Pelodiscus sinensis: one gene and its partner. The protein of the gene in region 2 binds, or shares a complex with, the protein of the main gene of each other region. Links are inferred from orthologs where the notes say so. Each region holds a gene or a part of one and is shown on either strand. Other genes may lie near its edges.

Region 1 (7,993 bases), on a different chromosome or scaffold from region 2:
GGGTCCCACATAAAAGAAAAAAAATTCTCATGTTTTATACAATGAAGAATTTAAAAAAGTATTGCTAGAGAGACATTGTGCTACAAATAGGTGTTGCACAAATCCACCCTGTTCATCTTGCTTGTGTTCCCAAGAACCTCAGCCACTTCCCTAAGTATCTCTCTCAAAGGGAACTCCCTGATACTTTGCTTTGTGAGAAAAATTCTTCCCAGACTACAACCGAGAAGGGTAAATCTGTACCTACACTCAAAAAATCTTTTTAAGATTAAGCAGGACAGTTTTAAAAGTTATTTCCATCCCCCTTCTCCACAAAATCAGTGAAAGGGTAACACAGACAGTGAAGTCTCAGAAATAAAAGAATCACACTGGGGAACCCAGGATTTTAAGATCTCTGGGATTTCCTTTTCAGAGAAGTTAAACTTTCATTAAAAACAAAGTTTCATGATCTTTCAAATGCTCTTTAAAACAGCGATATAAACTAAATTCTCTTGCACTAAGTAAAGTAGCAGCTTGGTAGTTTAAGCTCAAAATTTAGGTTTAACTAGATCTCAATAGGACTATTTTCTTGAACGTTAAGCCAACTAGTTGCAGTGTATTTGGGTTTAAGTATTCCCTTGCAATCTCCTCTACAATTCGTCATGCTCAAGAACTATGAAGTGAAACCAGCTAGTACTAGAAGTGAAACTATACAACTGGGATCAATCTTTACCGAACTGTAGAGGTTAGAGATGCATATTAGGGACTAAGTCTTTGGGATACCATTCTACAGACTCGCTTCTCAATATCAGCAAGTGTTTCTTGACATTTCGAAAATTTTTCCCTCTGTTTCATCCATTCAATCCCATTATATACCATGCACATTCTAACTAACTCTCTCACCTTTGGTATTTATAGGATCAAGAACCTGTAGACTTATTAACTGTTTGCTCTTATTAACTTAGGAAAGTATTTATTTAGTGCCATCAGATGATCTATAGATGTATTATCCACACTTGATCCCTGCCCTGCAAAGCTCGCCATACATTTTAACTCTTCAACTTTCCTCAAATCAATCCTTCTCTGACTCTCTTGTCTGTTTTCCAGATTCTTTTTCAGATCCTGAAGCCAGGATATTTCGTGAGCATGGTGAACTGTGACAAGTGTAATCCTATTAGCACTCCCTATAAGGGGGCTTAGAAATACAGGGAAAATGGGAAAGTCTACTTTGTGTTTGTTTATGATGGCAGGCTCTTGGAGAGCTATACGTTCAGGCCTAATTCACTAGACATATTGAAAGCTTCAGTTCACGTTAACAGTTCAAATACACTCACTCCTTAGCAACGCAGGCATACATCCACAGTGTTCAGTGCCTTCCTCAGTAAGAATCAAATTTCTCCCCACAGATCATACAGATTCCCATCTGATGTTATTTTTCTCTGTACATCCCACCTATATTTCATGCGGTTGTTGATAAAATCATCTAATTTTTAAACTGCTGTTCTCAAGGCTGAAGGTATCATTCTCCTTCCCTAGGATCTTGGGTAATGCCAAATATCACAAACATTGCAGATACATATTGATCTTACTAATGCACTCTGCTGTGCTTCATGCATGCAAGAGTGAGGTCATAGCTGTTTTAAAACACCATACACACTGACCATTTGTGGATCACTGAAGAGCTCAGGACACAGTGTCTGCCAAACTGCAACTCTGACTATTACATAATAAGGATGTAAATTGCACTTAATCAACTAGTCGATTAGTTGATGGGGGGGGCGGGACTGCAGAGCTGCAATGGGGTTAGCTCCCGGCCCCGGGCAGCTAATCCCACTGCGGCTCTGCCTTTTAAATGTATTAAGAGCTGCCAGGCTAGTCGCTTACATCCCTATTACATAGCAGATTTGATTTTACATAATTTAAGAAACAGTCTCCAACTGGCAACTGCCTTGAAGCATTCTAGGTAAAAACATCAATACATACATACAATTGTCTATTTTCTGCCTATATTGTTAGATTTTCAACACGGTAACACCAATATGAAGCCTTTATTTAACAACAATATTGCAAGGCACTGACTGATTTGTAAGTTCACGCTCATGCTTCTATATCAAGTTGTCTGTTTTTATTGTGTTTGCTCCATTCTCTGGACCTCCCCTTTGTTACGTTATGTTCTTTTCAGATTAGCACTCTAAATACAGACTGTACTGGTGGTCTCGTCGTAAAAGGCCAGTGCTCCACCTTGCTCAACCAAGGATAGCGTTGTGTAGTGCAGCCCCCCCCTGCAGACAGCTGCATTTACCAAATGTAAATAGCAGGAGAATGAACCTGAAGTATATTCGATCACAGCGCACAAAGCTATGGGATAGTGATAGAAATGTAGCCGTGTTAGTCCTGTTCTTTGTTTCAGCTACACCAGGCTATGCAGCAGTATAAAGACTCACAAGATGGTTTATTAGGTGATGAGCTTTGGTGGGCCAGACCCACTTCCTCAGATCAAATAGTGGAAGAAAATTGTCACAACCCTTTGGTATCTATGGTTCTGACAATTTTCTTCCACTCTTTGATCTGAGGAAGTGGGTCTGGCCCACGAAAGCTCATCATCTAATAAACCATCCTGTGAGTCTGTAAAGTGCTGCCTAGTCCTGGTTTGTCAAAGCTCTGGGAGACTTGTTCAAAGGCGCCCTCAGCCCCCTCGCACGGTTTGAAAGGACCCATGAAAACCGCGACCCCGCCGCCGTTTCACCATTTCGCGCGCTCCTGACTCACTGCGCGGCGGCGCGATGTGGAGTCCGGGCTAGGGGAGACCGAGCTGGGCAGGGCACCAGCTGTCCAGAGCGGCTAGGGGAGGGGGAGGGGCCCTGGGCCAGGCCGGAGGCTCGGGGCTTCCCTGGCCGCAGGGGAGGCTGCGGGGGGCGCGGGGCCGCCACGAGGGCCGGGCCGGGCGGATCTCCAGGCCCCTCCGGCCCGCAGCGACTCCGCCCGTGCGGGAAGCGCCGCCTCGTGCTGCCGCCGTTTTGAAGCCCGCCGGGGGGGCGGGGTCTGTGCCCGGGCCCGCCCGCGGGGAGCCCCCCCGGCCCCGCGTCGCTGCCCGCAGGGGCCCGGCCGGAGGGGGGGGGCGGGGGGACTCACCGCGGCCGTGGCCAGGCTGTGCATGTTCGGAGCCGCCGCCGCCCGGGCCCGGGATCAGGAGGCCGCTGCCGTCGCCATGGGGCCCAGGCCGCCTGCGCGCCGCCCTGACCCCTGCCCTCCGCCCTCTCACCCCGTCACGTGCTCCGCGCCGGGGGGGGGGAGGGTGAGGCGCCTGCGCGCGGCGGCTTGTGGGCGAGCAGGGCGCGCTCTGCGGGGCGGCGGAGGGCCCGCGGCGAGCCTGCGCGCAGCGCCGTGACGCCACCGCGCGCGCGTGCCGTACGTGCCGCGTCTCGCGCGGGGCGTCTCGCGCGGCTGCCCGCTTCCCGCCATCTGCCTCCCTGAGGAGCGAGCGCAGCGCCCGGCGGGGCCTCGCGGGACCCGAGCGGCAGGTAGCGAGCCGCGGCCCCCGCCCCCACGGGCCCCCTCAGCTGCCCCCTCCCCCTCCGGCCGCCTGCAGCCGCGAGAGCCCCCGGTCAGCCCGGCCGAGCCCTTCCCCCGCCCGGGCGGGGCGCTGTCCGGGCACGGCAGGTGGGGGGGCGGGGCGAGTGGGTCACTCTCCCCCCCCCCCCGGCGCGCGGGGCAGAGCCCCGGGGGGGGGGCAGAGCCCGGCCGCGCGCTGCTCAGTCCCTGGGGCCCGCTGCCCTCCGCGCGCGCCACAGGTGCCCCTCGCGCTGGGCTGCCCCCACGTGACCGCTGCCCCGTCTCCCCCCCGCCCCCCCCGGTGGGTTTTGCCGGTGAGCGCGCGGGGCGCGGCACGTGCGCGGTGTGGCGCTCTGAGCGCGCGGGGACCCAGCTGGCCCCTGTGCCTGTCGGGCTCGCCCCGCAGAGCCGCCCTGCCCTGGGCACGGGCCTGTGATGCCGCTTCTCGGCCTGTGCAGGAACGGCCTCCCCTTCCCCGGACTCTGCCGTGCACCCGCTCACTGCCCCGAAAGAAACGCCCTTCGCACTTGAACCATTGCGAGCCCTGCTGCCTGGTGATTGTCGCTTGCGTGTCCCTAGCTTGTATTGAACTGCATCCCCCTCAAAAGTTAAATAGAAAAGGGCTGTGTGTGTGATCCTATGCAAAGCTTCCTTCCTTCGTTGGTTTTAATCAGACAGTTCCTATCAAAATGTGGATTATTTAAAGAGTAATTTGTCACATTGTTTTAGTAATTTGTATTAACGTTGCTTAGCAGCCTCAGTCAAGTTGGAGTCTCGTTGTACAAAGTGCTGTACCAATATCAAAACACAATCTATAACCAAAAGATGATAATCTAGATCAATGACAAGATGCAACAGGTGGCTGAGAGAGAGAAACAGGTGACGTTGAGGTGACAATAAGTAAAACTTGCAAATACAAAGAATAAATTTTATTATAAAAAGTCAGTTTCTCATTAGAGGTTTTATTGTCCAATTTTGGAAACCAAATGGTTTCTTGGAAAATTTGTTGTCTTTTCCCCCTCATCTTTCCCTGCTTGCTCTTAGCTCAAGATCAATTTGTTTTGGTAACTCTGTAAATGTCATTCTTAGACTTGCAAGATCTTTCACTGTTTGTACTGAGTCATCTCACTCAGTGTTAAATATTTAGGGATTAAAACAGAGTTCCCCAAGGTGCGAGGCATTCCCCACATCAAGGCCTCAGCTCTACTCATGCCCCTGAGTCTGGCCTCCAACTGTGACCACAGCCTCAGGTTCCTTACTTTTGTCTACATTTCCTCCCCTTAGCCACAGTTTTGCCCCCAGTCTGGGTAAGGAGCATGAACCCTGAAGAGTCTGGAGACCACTGGCTTAAAGTAATGCTGGCCAAATTATGGAAGATTTCCTAATACATATTTCATTTACTGTATTCTATTTTTTCTAGACTCCTGCAAAAAATGCTGTTCCTGATTTTTACACTTTATGCAGATACTTTTATTTGCTAGTTGCCAATTTTAATTTTTCTTATTTTTAACAGGATTCAAAGTGAAGTAAATTTAGTTCAACTGTTTTAAGTTATTTATCTGCAAGAAAAATGGCTCCACTGAAGGTGCATGGGCCTGTACGGATGCGCAGCATGCAAACTGGGATTACAAAATGGAAAGAAGGAAGCTTTGAAATTGTGGAGAAGGACAACAAAGTGAGTTTAGTCGTTCACTACAATGTTGGAGGAATTCCAAAGACATTTCAGGTACTTCAGATATCAAGGTGTTTTATATGAGCAATGCATGGATTGTTCCCTTTTGTGAACAGCTTTCATCTCAAAGACTACTAAGTATCTCACAGACTTCCCTCTGTTACTGTTTCTTGGTTTTCATTTCTAGAACATTAATCCTTTTGTATAAACATACTTTACAGTATTCAGGTGTATCATTGGGTAGAATGCCAAGGCAGGAGTGGACAAACCAATTATTGGGAAGAAATGAAAATGCTTAAGACATGAAAGTAAAATGAACCAAACACTATATAGTATCTTGTTATTTTGTATTCGCTTTTTTAAACTCTTTTTGCTTATTTGACAAACTTTCAGACCATCTGTGTGGCGATTTATTAGGTCACGTATGCCTTTTCTACTACACTAGTACTTTTTCCAGTGGAAGTGCTGAACATTTCCAGTGTAAATATACCCTTAGTCCAGGTGCAAAACTCTTCACTGTTGTACATCAACTACACTTCTGTCCAGTCTAGGTTATTAGTGTGCCAAGAAACTTGATTTTCACCACTTCCTTTTGGAGCTTTGATAGCTCTTGCTGTCAGAAAAATAAGGTTCATACCAACTATAAGGCGATAAGTAAAATGTGTGCACTTGATGATATTCATATTTTGGGACAGGAAACATTAGGAGGAGTTTTAGGCCTTTTTTCTGTCTTCCGGTTCAGATTAATCAGAAACCTCTTCATCTGCAGATTTGGGAGATCCTACTGTCATGTTATAGAGGCAAATTGAACTAAATCTTTCTCTCGCTTCAGTAACTGGCAGCTCTTCATACTTGTCAAAATTACTTTTTTATTTGTTAGTGGTGTCTAGAAGCCACAGTCAGGTTGGGGCCCCATAGTGCTAGATGCAGATATAAAGTAAAAGATTATCTTTGTCCCAAAGAGACTTTATAATATAGTTTAAACGAGTCACAACTGGTGGCTGGAGAATATGGATGATGATGAATGCTGTTAAGTCATAAGAGTTTTTTGTGTGTTGTAATAGGTTTGACCTTGAATGGTCATGTGGTTGAAATTCTTCTCTGCTGTACTTATTTTAGGGGAGAGTGGAAGATTTGAAGGCCATCCTTAAATTCTTCCTGTACTGAAAATATTTAGTTAACCAAAAAAGCAAGTATTGGGTATAAAATAAGTCTGATGTCAGTACCAGGCAACTTAGTTTAACCAATAGTAAAGAATAGAATTGTCAGACACATAGATGAACATAGTTTGTTGGGAAAAGTCAACATGGTTTCTGTAAAGGGAAATCATGCCTTACTAATCTACTAGAGTTCTTTGTGGGCATCAACAAGCATGTGGACAAGTATCAGAAGGGTAGCAATGTTAATCTGAATCTGCATAAACAACAACACGTCCTGTGGCACCTTATAGACTTGGGCTACGTCTACACTGGCCCCTTTTCCGGAAGGGGCATGTAAATTTCACCAGTCGTAGTAGGGAAATGCGCGGGGGATTTAAATATCCCCCGCGGCATTTAAATAAAAATGTCCGCCGCTTTTTTCCGGCTTTTAAAAAAGCCGGAAAAGAGCGTCTACACTGGCCCCGATCCTCCGGAAAAAGCGCCCTTTTCCGGAGGCTCTTATTCCTACTTTGAAGTAGGAATAAGAGCCTCCGGAAAAGGGCGCTTTTTCCGGAGGATCGGGGCCAGTGTAGACGCTCTTTTCCGGCTTTTTTAAAAGCCGGAAAAAAGCGGCGGACATTTTTATTTAAATGCCGCGGGGGATATTTAAATCCCCCGCGCATTTCCCTACTACGACTGGTGAAATTTACATGCCCCTTCCGGAAAAGGGGCCAGTGTAGACGTAGCCTAACAGATTTATTGGATCATAAGCTTTCATGGGCAAAGACTCACTTTGTCAGATGCATGTACTGATGCATGTGGACAAGGGGGATCCAGTGAGCACAGTGTACTTAGAGTTCCAGGAAGCCTTTGACAAGGTCCCTCACCAAAGGTTCTTAAGTAACTTGTCATGGGATAAGAGGGGAGGTTCTCTCAGGGCTTGATAACTGGTTAAAAGATAGGAAAAAAAGGATAGGAATAATGGACAGTTTTCAGAATGGAGTGAGGTAACTAGTGGGGTCCCACAGGGGTCTGTACTGGGGCCAGTCCTATTCAACATATTCATAAATGATCTGGAAAAAGGGGCAAACAGTGAGGGGGCAACATTTGTAGATGATACTAAACTGCTCAAAATAGTTAAGACCAAAGCAGACTGTGAAGAGCTTCAAAAGGATTTCACAAAACTAGGAGATTGGGCAGCAAAAGGCAAATTAATTTTAATGTTGATAAATGCAAAGTAATGCATATTGGAAAACATAATCCCAACTACACATACAAAATGATGGGGACTAAATTAGCTGTTACGACTCCAGAGAGATTGTAGAGTCATTGTGGATAGTTCTCTGAAAATATCCACTCAACGTGCAGCAGTAGTCAAAAAAGCAAACAGAATGTTGGGAATAATTAAAAAAAAAATAGAGAATAAGACAGAGAACATCTTATTGCCTCTGTATAAATCCATGGTATGCCCACATCTTGAATGCTGCGTACAAATGTGGTTGCCTCATCTAAAAAAAATATATTGGCATTGGAAAAAGTTCAGAAAAGGGCAACAAAAATGGTTGAGGTTTGGAGCAGCTGCCATATGAAGAGAGATGAAAAAGACAGAGATTTTTCATCTTAGAAAAGAGGAGATTAAGAGGGGAGTATGATG
Region 2 (7,916 bases):
AAGACTGCAACATAAGCTAATGAAACTCAAAGGATTCAAGTGTAACTTTAGAATTTCTTGATTTTTGTCAATACATATCAAGCTATATGTTTTATGTATTATGAAAATGATTGACTAACCCTGTGGGTCTTACAATATCTGCTTGTTTGTTTCCCTCTTCTCCCCAATGAAATTCAGTTCTGTTTAGACTAGTACATACATAGTACACTATTTGTATATGGGTTTAGGCTTTCTCTGATTAGACTAACATCTAGAAATATGCACAAATATGACAAGTAGTTTACCAACAATTAAAGAAAAACTACCGTATATTGTTTAATAGGAACTCAGACCTGCACAAAAGTAACAGGTTGTATTATAGATTTCTTTAAACACCACTTTAAACACAAGGATTCTGCAGTACTTAAGGCCAAATTCTGTACTCGAATACTCGTGCACAATTCCTGTATATTTCACTGAGATTTGTTTGTGCATTTCTGAAAGAAAAATCTGACAAATCAGTATTAGGCTTAATATTTTAGCTCAAATCAGAATGTCTGATGCAGATTATTTTCATTTTGCCTTTGACAGTGCAAGTATTAGTCACTAAGCTAATAACAGGTACTCACCTCATCTACTCTTAAGACTGGTGAGTTGAAAAAAGTTGTTTACAAATTCTACAAGTTGAGTGAAAAGTATTTTCAAATACAAAAATAACTATGGAAGTTATGACTATTATAACACAATGAACTCTGACACACAAGAGTATCCTGCACCCAAACTGTGCAAACCTGAAGCCTAAAAATGCAAGTTTCTAGTTTCAGATCTAATACCAAGTACCTGGTTACAGGGCATACTTAACAAGCTGGAGACAAAAGCCAAGATTTTCAAAAGTCAAGAAAGATTTCTGGGACCTCAATTTTGTAGAGTCAACTGAAGATACCTTAATACTTGTTCGCTTTATAAAATAAAGCCTCTCAAGTTGGACAATTCAGAAAATAAAGCATCCAAAAATCATTAGTCCCTTTTCAAATTATTAGCCAAAGGCATTAGACAAATATCAGAAAGAAAAGATAATGAAACACCACAGATAAGCAAAAAGGCAACAACTCATTTTATCACCCCAATATCTATTAATACTTAATGTTCACAGCTTCCCGCAAAAAAAATGCCATCTTCTAGTGAATGGTATTCCAGTTTTTGTTATAAACTATAAAGGTACTTAAATTCCTTCATAATACCAAAAGGATCTAGTCCCTGGAAATCTGGAAGTTGACCATGTGTCAGCTGGAACTCTCCCCCAAAACAGTTATAATGTTATAAAACACTGCAGTCCTCAAGACCTGGATCACGCAAGCTTTGATCAACAATAGAAAAAAAAATTAAAGGATATTAGTGCATATGTTAGTCCACAAAAAGGAATCTTTGCAATGAAAACCTAAATTATATTTGATTGTTCTGCTCTACATGTGTCTCAATAGTTTGAACTACATCCATATTTCCAGAAACCTAATGAGGTCTACAGACTGATGTAACAGAAAGTTTGATAAAGTTTAAGCTCTCCTATTACTTATTTAAGTCCAACAGCCAATCACTTCCACCAGGTGTTACTCATATTGGCCTGCACAACAGTATTTCCTTCCTTCATGGACTTAATTCATCCAAGAATCAAATGGAATCATTTTATGTAAGAAATGAAAAGCTAACATAACACTAAAGTTTTGATAATAAGTTGTTCAAACAAAATGTGTTTTTTCCAAAAGTAAACACTGCTGATCCACAATGACGTAATTATGTTGAGATTTGACAGAGTACTACAAAATATTTAAGTTAAAGTCATCTGTAACTTGAATTATAATAAAAGTTTAAGTAACAGGTGCATATTCTTTGGCTTGCAAATTTCAGGACGATGTACAAGCTACATTTGTAAACAAGAATTCATTCTCCCCTACGACATCTGAATTTTCCCCATTAGTGCTGGTTCACAGTGAAAGCTGCTTTGAAACAGAAACATCACACACACAGGAAGACAAGACATCTTCTGACACAGACAGAGGCAGCACTCAGAGGAAGTGGTTCAGCGTGCTTCAAGTTTGTTTAACAAACATTTCTGAGGAAGAATCACAACCTGTTTCAACGTCATCTCAGCCTCCCTCAAAAAGGCCGGGGAAGAATACACCAGAAATAATTAACCCTATTTCACAGCCCTCTCTCATCTACAGGGCTCACATAACAGGCCGCAAGTCCACACTGGTAAACTGCAAAACCCCAGCATCGCCTATAAGGAAAAACCAGTAGCAGCAGAGACAGTGGGTGGCAGATTTCGCTTCACTGGTTTCTTAACCCGAAGCCACAAGACACGGGAGGGAGGACATTAGCACCAACTTCTCCTCAGACGCCTAAAGAAGTCGAACGCGCGATGGGGCGGGAGGGTGTCAAGAACCACAACTAGGCCAAGGGCTAGGGGGACGGGTCAGATGAGCAAGACACTAGGGCACAGGCGGGAGCGGGAAGGAGGCGAGTCAAGGGGCGGACATCGCGGGTGGCAGCCGCCAGGGCAAGGGGCAGCAGGAAGGGAAGCCGCGGCTGTGTGAGAAGCCACAGACGCTCGCAGAGGATGAGGAGGCCCTAGGGTGCGGGCCCCAGGCTCTGCCGCCTCCCGCAGCGCTGGCCTTTCCCTCCCCGCAGAGCGGGGCCCGGGTGCCGCCGCCGCCGCCGGGCCGGGGATGGCGGAAGCGACGGGTCCGCTGCCTGGGCTGGGCCTAAGGGCTCCGCTCCCGACTCAGACGTCGCGCGTCCCCCCCTCTCTCTCTCCCTCGGAGACAAAAGCAAACGGAAACCCGGCTGGCTGCGGCCGGGCCCAGTGACCGCGGAGCCGGGCCCGGACCGCCGGGGGCCCCACCCCCAGCGCCTGCGGGCCCCGTTGGGAGGCAGCGGGCAGAGCGCGCCGCGGGGAGGGGGCCAGAAAATAATGGGGGCCGAACTCACCGCATGAATTTTCTTGTCCCGCGGATCCAAGATGGCTGAGTATCCAGCACGGAGGATGCTGGGGGAGCGACCTTTACCCTCTGACCCGCCCGCCGCCGCCGTGACCCCGCCGCCGCCCGGCCTGGCAACCGGAACCAGGGCGAGACGCGAGCTGCCTGCGCGCCCAGGCCCGGCCCGCGGCTCCCTCCGCCCCCACGGGAGGCTGGGCCCCTCTGCCGCCTGGCTCCTGCTGGGCCTCGCTCTCCCCGCGCTTAACCCGGGTGGGAAGCCAGGGCGCTGCTGCCGCAGGGAGCCGGGCCTGCCACGGCCGGGACGGGGGCGGCCTCCCCCGTGGGAGGGGAGCGGGAGCCCTGCCACACGCTCCCGCCCGAGAGAGCGGGGACCCAATTAGTGCTGCGGTCCCCCAGCGCGCGGGCGGCAGCAGCTCGGTCACACTCACTGCACAGCAGGGGGGTGAGTCCCGGGTCCCATCCTGCCCACGTGGGGCTCCGTTACACGCCCGCTCCGGGGCACGGAAAAGGGGCTGTTGGGGCCTGGACCCTTCCACTCCCGTGGGAGGTGGAGACAGCAGTTCCCATCACGCACCCACAGGAGACAACGGGGGCAAGAGGGGTAGCACGGCAGCAGCTCCGTGGGCTGCTTGCTGTGTGCTGGAAAATTGGTCCTGGCTACATCACTCAAAGGTGTGGAAAATCCGGACCCTGGTGACAATTAAGTTGATCTGAGTCCGTGTGTAGACAGTGCTAAGGGGTGGATGAATTTTTCTGTTCACTTAGCTACGGCATCTCAGGGGTGGATTATTTATGCCAATGAGAGAACCCCTTTATCAGCATATCTACATTGAGGGCATGTCTCTGCTAGAGAATTGAAGTTGACTTAACTTACCGCAGCATCCAGCCACAATAGAAATTACATCACTTGTGCATGTCTCTACTTTGCTCCATGTGTTGGCAGTGCATATCCTAACCAGGTGCACTTGTACAGGTTGTACTGTCACTGTGGGGCATTGTCGGATAGATGCTGAAAGCCCGTAACAGTCAATGTAAACAACACAGTGTGTGCACCTACATTGCTTTGATCTAACTAAATCCACATTGATGCTGCTCCTCACATCAGAGGTGGAGTTATGCCTGCATTGCAGGGCAGTTATGTTGGTGGGAGTGAAACTTTAGTGTGCAATTAAGAAAATTGATGTATCTGCCATAGTAACTTTGTAGTGCAGACCAGGTCTCTTAATACTACAACCCTGCAGAGGAACTACTGTATAGATGACCCCTGGAACAACCACACCCTAGGAGAGAATAGGTGGGAGCAGGAGAACAGAAGTTCTTGGGTTACATCTACATAGGAATAAAAAGATATATGGCTGGCCTATGTCAGCTGGTTTGGGCTTGTCATGCTCAGGTTGTGGGACTAAAAATTACTGTGTAGAAGTTTGAGTTTGTGCTCCAGCCAGAGCTCTGGGACCCTCTAAGGGTGAAGAGTCAAAGAACTTGGGTTCCAGATCAAGCATCCTGAGAGACAGAGTAAGCTGACTTGGACAAGCCAGTTTAGGCGTAGTCTACACTAGCTCTGTAGGAGTTGCTGGTCGGAAGGAGGGCAGCAACTCTGTTAAATACACTTAATAGGAAAGAATGAAGGTGGATGGAGCAGGAAGTCTGACAATGCAGAGACTTAGGCTACGGTCTATACTACAAGGCTTTTCCGCTAGAGGAAATGCAAATGGAGCACTCATTTGCATATGTTGCACTTGTTTTTGCACAAAAAGGAGCCATCTACATAGCTCTTTTTTGCACAAAAGTGATCCGAAGAGGAAGAGGAAATGCGAGTGTGACATGAGCGCTCATTTGCGTATCTTGCTCATATTTGCATTTCCTCTTGCAGAAAAGCCTTGCAGTATAGACATAACTCCAATCAGATATGATTGGGGCTGTAGCAAAAAAAAAAAAAAAAAGTGAAATATGAATGCTACATATTTGAACAAAGTCAGTGAATCCAAAAATTAAAGTTCTCTCAAAAACATAACATCTATTTTACACTAGCTGGAGTTACCCGATGTTGCTTGGGGTGGGCAGTGGGGTCCTGCCGGGGGTGCCCCGTGTGAGGGACAGGAGGGAGTAAGCATGGAACCTACAGTGGGCTGGACAGCCCAGCTCGCGCCTAGGGCTACAAGGGCCACGGGGCAACAACCCCACCGTCCACACTGAAACTTTCGCACCGCTACCTGCTGCACCATGGGGCCGCTCCAGGGGCTCCCCTCTCCCGTGGGCCTCGATGAGCAGGTGCCGGGCTCCCTGCCACACGACCAGGAAGCTGCGCCGGACTCTGGGCTGCTCCCAGCACCGCTGCCGCCTCCCTGCTGGGCTTGCCCCACTGTGCCCGCAACCGCCCCTAGCGGTGGCCGCAAGCTCCAGCCCACAGCGTGGCAACCCTCAGCCGCTGCCGGAGGGGTGGGTCCCGGGCCAAGTGACATCATGGGTGGGAGGAAGAAGGGGGCTCCCCCACCCTAGATGCACCTGTTCAGTGGAATGGCCTGGTACAGGCGAGTGGAGCAGCTGCTGCTCAGAGTGCCTCCCCTCCCGCCTCCACCACCAGCCTTAGTGAGTGACTGTCCCCGCAGCTTCCCCCGGGAAGTTGCTTCTCCCCGCACTGCCAAAAGTACCTTAAAACCTTCTCCTGGAGGAAAGGTTACCCCATGCAAAGTTTGGGGTAGCTCTTATAGCGCCCAAGTTATAGCGCACAAACATACAAACATTCTCCTTTGTATATTAGATATAGTGTGTATTTAGTAGCCTAACCAGTAATCACAAATATGTATGCACAATGTGGGCAAGTTATGTTAATTCAGAAACCTTAACTGCTGTATTCCCTTGCGTTGAGTGTTTAATTGTAGAACATTAACATTGCATACACATAGCTTTTGTGTATTTGACTGTCTTGTTTGTTTTCCTAAAGAAAAGGAAAGTTGTTAGCATTTTAATGGTTTGTAATAAGCTCTGAAGTGGATAAATAGTCCACAATTTACTGTGATGAATGGGGAGAGTTCATGCTTTTGCTTCTGTTGTTTATTGGTTGAGCACATTTTTCTGCAAGGATGAGGCCTGTTTTGCACCCAAACTGTGCCTTTTTATTGAGCTGGTATTTCAAACCAACTAAGTTAGGGTATGCCTACACTACAGCGCTAACTCGAACAAACTTAGTTCGAATTAGTTCATTTGAACTAAGCTAATTCGAACTAACGCATCCAGACTAAAAAACTAGTGTGAATTAGCGTTTTGCTAATTCGAACTAGCATGTCCACATTAAGTGGACCCTGAACCGGGATTAAGGATGGCCGGAAGCAGTGCCGGCAGGGCATCAGATGAGGACTTAGAGCGTGGAGCTGCTGCCTCAGGCTAGCCGAGAGCTGTGCTTAAAGGGACCCGACCCCCACCTCGGACAGACAGTTCTCAGGGGTGCCCCGCTTGCAAAGCAGTCCTGGCTTGGAGTGCCCTGAGTGTCCACACTCAGCACATCACAGCACTCGGCCATCAGACCGGCTGCACTTGCCGCAGACTGCCATCTGGGGAGAGGGGGCAATTGGGGGGCTGCAGGAGAGCTTCCACCCCCAGAAGCCCGCAGAGCCAGCCCAGTCCTCCCCATCGGGGGCTCGTACCCCATTCCTCCCTCACCTCCTTCCACTTACCCTTCCCTAGCCCCCCTTCCTGATGTACAAAATAAAGAAAATGTGTGGTCAAAAATAGAATCTCTCTTTATTGAACAAAACTCAGGGAGATGGGAAAAGGAGGTGGGAGAGGGGAAGAGAGAAGGTGGGAGAGGGGAGGGCAACTAAAATGATCAGAGGTTTGGAACAGGTCCCATATGAAGAGAGGAGACTGAGAGGGGGATAGGATAGAGGTCTATAAAAGCATGAGTGGTGTGGAGAGGGTGCATAAAGAAAAGTTCTTCATTAGTTCCCATAACAGAAGGACTAGAGGACACCAAATGAAAGGAATGGGTAGCAGGCTTCAAACTAGTAACAGAAAGTTCTTCACAAAGCAAAGAGTCAATCTGTGGAACTCCTTGCTGCAGGAGGCTGTGAAGGCTAGAACTAGAACAGAGTTTAAAGGGAAGTAAGATCAAGTCATGGAGGTTGGGTCCATGGAGTGGTATTAGCCAGGGGGTAGGAGTGGTGTCCCTGCCCGAAGTTTGTGGAAGGCTGGAGATGGATGGCACGAGACAAATGGCTTGGTCACTGTCTTCGGTCCATCCCCTCTAGGGTCCCTAGGGTTGGCCGCTGTCGGCAAACAGGCTACTGAGCTAGATGGACCTTTGGTATGACCCAGTACGGCCATTGTAAGCTCAGGGTCGGGGGTCTCAGTGGACCACCTTGATTTTCATGCACACCTGCTCCTGGGTGGCCAGGCTGGCAGCTCTCCTGCCCTAGACAGCCACTTTCCTGTGCCTAGTGTGGAGGTCGTGGACGAGGTCCATGATGTCCGCACTAGACCAGGCGGGTGCCCGCCTCTTGCGGTCCCGGGCAAGCTCCCGGGAGCCGCCAGCCTGGTCCCGGGAAGAGAGGGAGGGCTGGGGGGCATCGGGTGGCTGGCTCGAGCCGTGCCAGGTGCAGGGTCTGCTAGCTGGGTGCTGGCAGGCTTGCACCTGGCACGGGCACCGTAGCCAGCCCGTGCCCCTTTAAGGGATCCGGGGCCGGGAGGGGGGCAATAAAGTTTCCCTGGTGTTGGCCAGAGTGGCCACCAGGGAAAGCTGGGGAGGGCTAGCCTCCCACTAGTTCGAATTAAGGGGCTACACAGCCCTTCGTTCGAACTAGTAAGTTCGAACTAGGTTTAGTCCTCGTACAATGAGGTTTACCTAGTTCGAACTAAGCGCTCCGCTAGTTTGAATTAAGTTCGAACTAGCGGAGCGCTAGTGTAGCGCCTATCAAAGTTAATTCGAACTAACGTCTGTTA

What was found.
Region 1: CNOT2 (region 2) and CNOT9 share a complex: the UniProt entries of both Homo sapiens proteins name them as parts of the CCR4-NOT complex. The link is inferred for Pelodiscus sinensis from reciprocal best matches to the Homo sapiens genes CNOT2 and CNOT9.

What each region holds. Positions count from the first base shown.
Region 1 is NC_134717.1:924,689-932,681, forward strand, and holds the start of CNOT9 (CCR4-NOT transcription complex subunit 9), read right to left. Parts: upstream 3,261-7,993; 5' UTR 3,133-3,260; coding exon 3,109-3,132; intron 2,902-3,108; exon of another isoform or gene 2,746-2,901; intron 1-2,745. Other genes in the region: USP37 (ubiquitin carboxyl-terminal hydrolase 37), read left to right, coding at 5,099-5,254. UniProt on the Homo sapiens protein: Component of the CCR4-NOT complex which is one of the major cellular mRNA deadenylases and is linked to various cellular processes including bulk mRNA degradation, miRNA-mediated repression, translational repression during translational initiation and general transcription regulation.
Region 2 is NC_134711.1:64,365,047-64,372,962, reverse strand, and holds the start of CNOT2 (CCR4-NOT transcription complex subunit 2), read right to left. Parts: upstream 3,092-7,916; 5' UTR 2,968-3,091; intron 1-2,967. UniProt on the Homo sapiens protein: Component of the CCR4-NOT complex which is one of the major cellular mRNA deadenylases and is linked to various cellular processes including bulk mRNA degradation, miRNA-mediated repression, translational repression during translational initiation and general transcription regulation.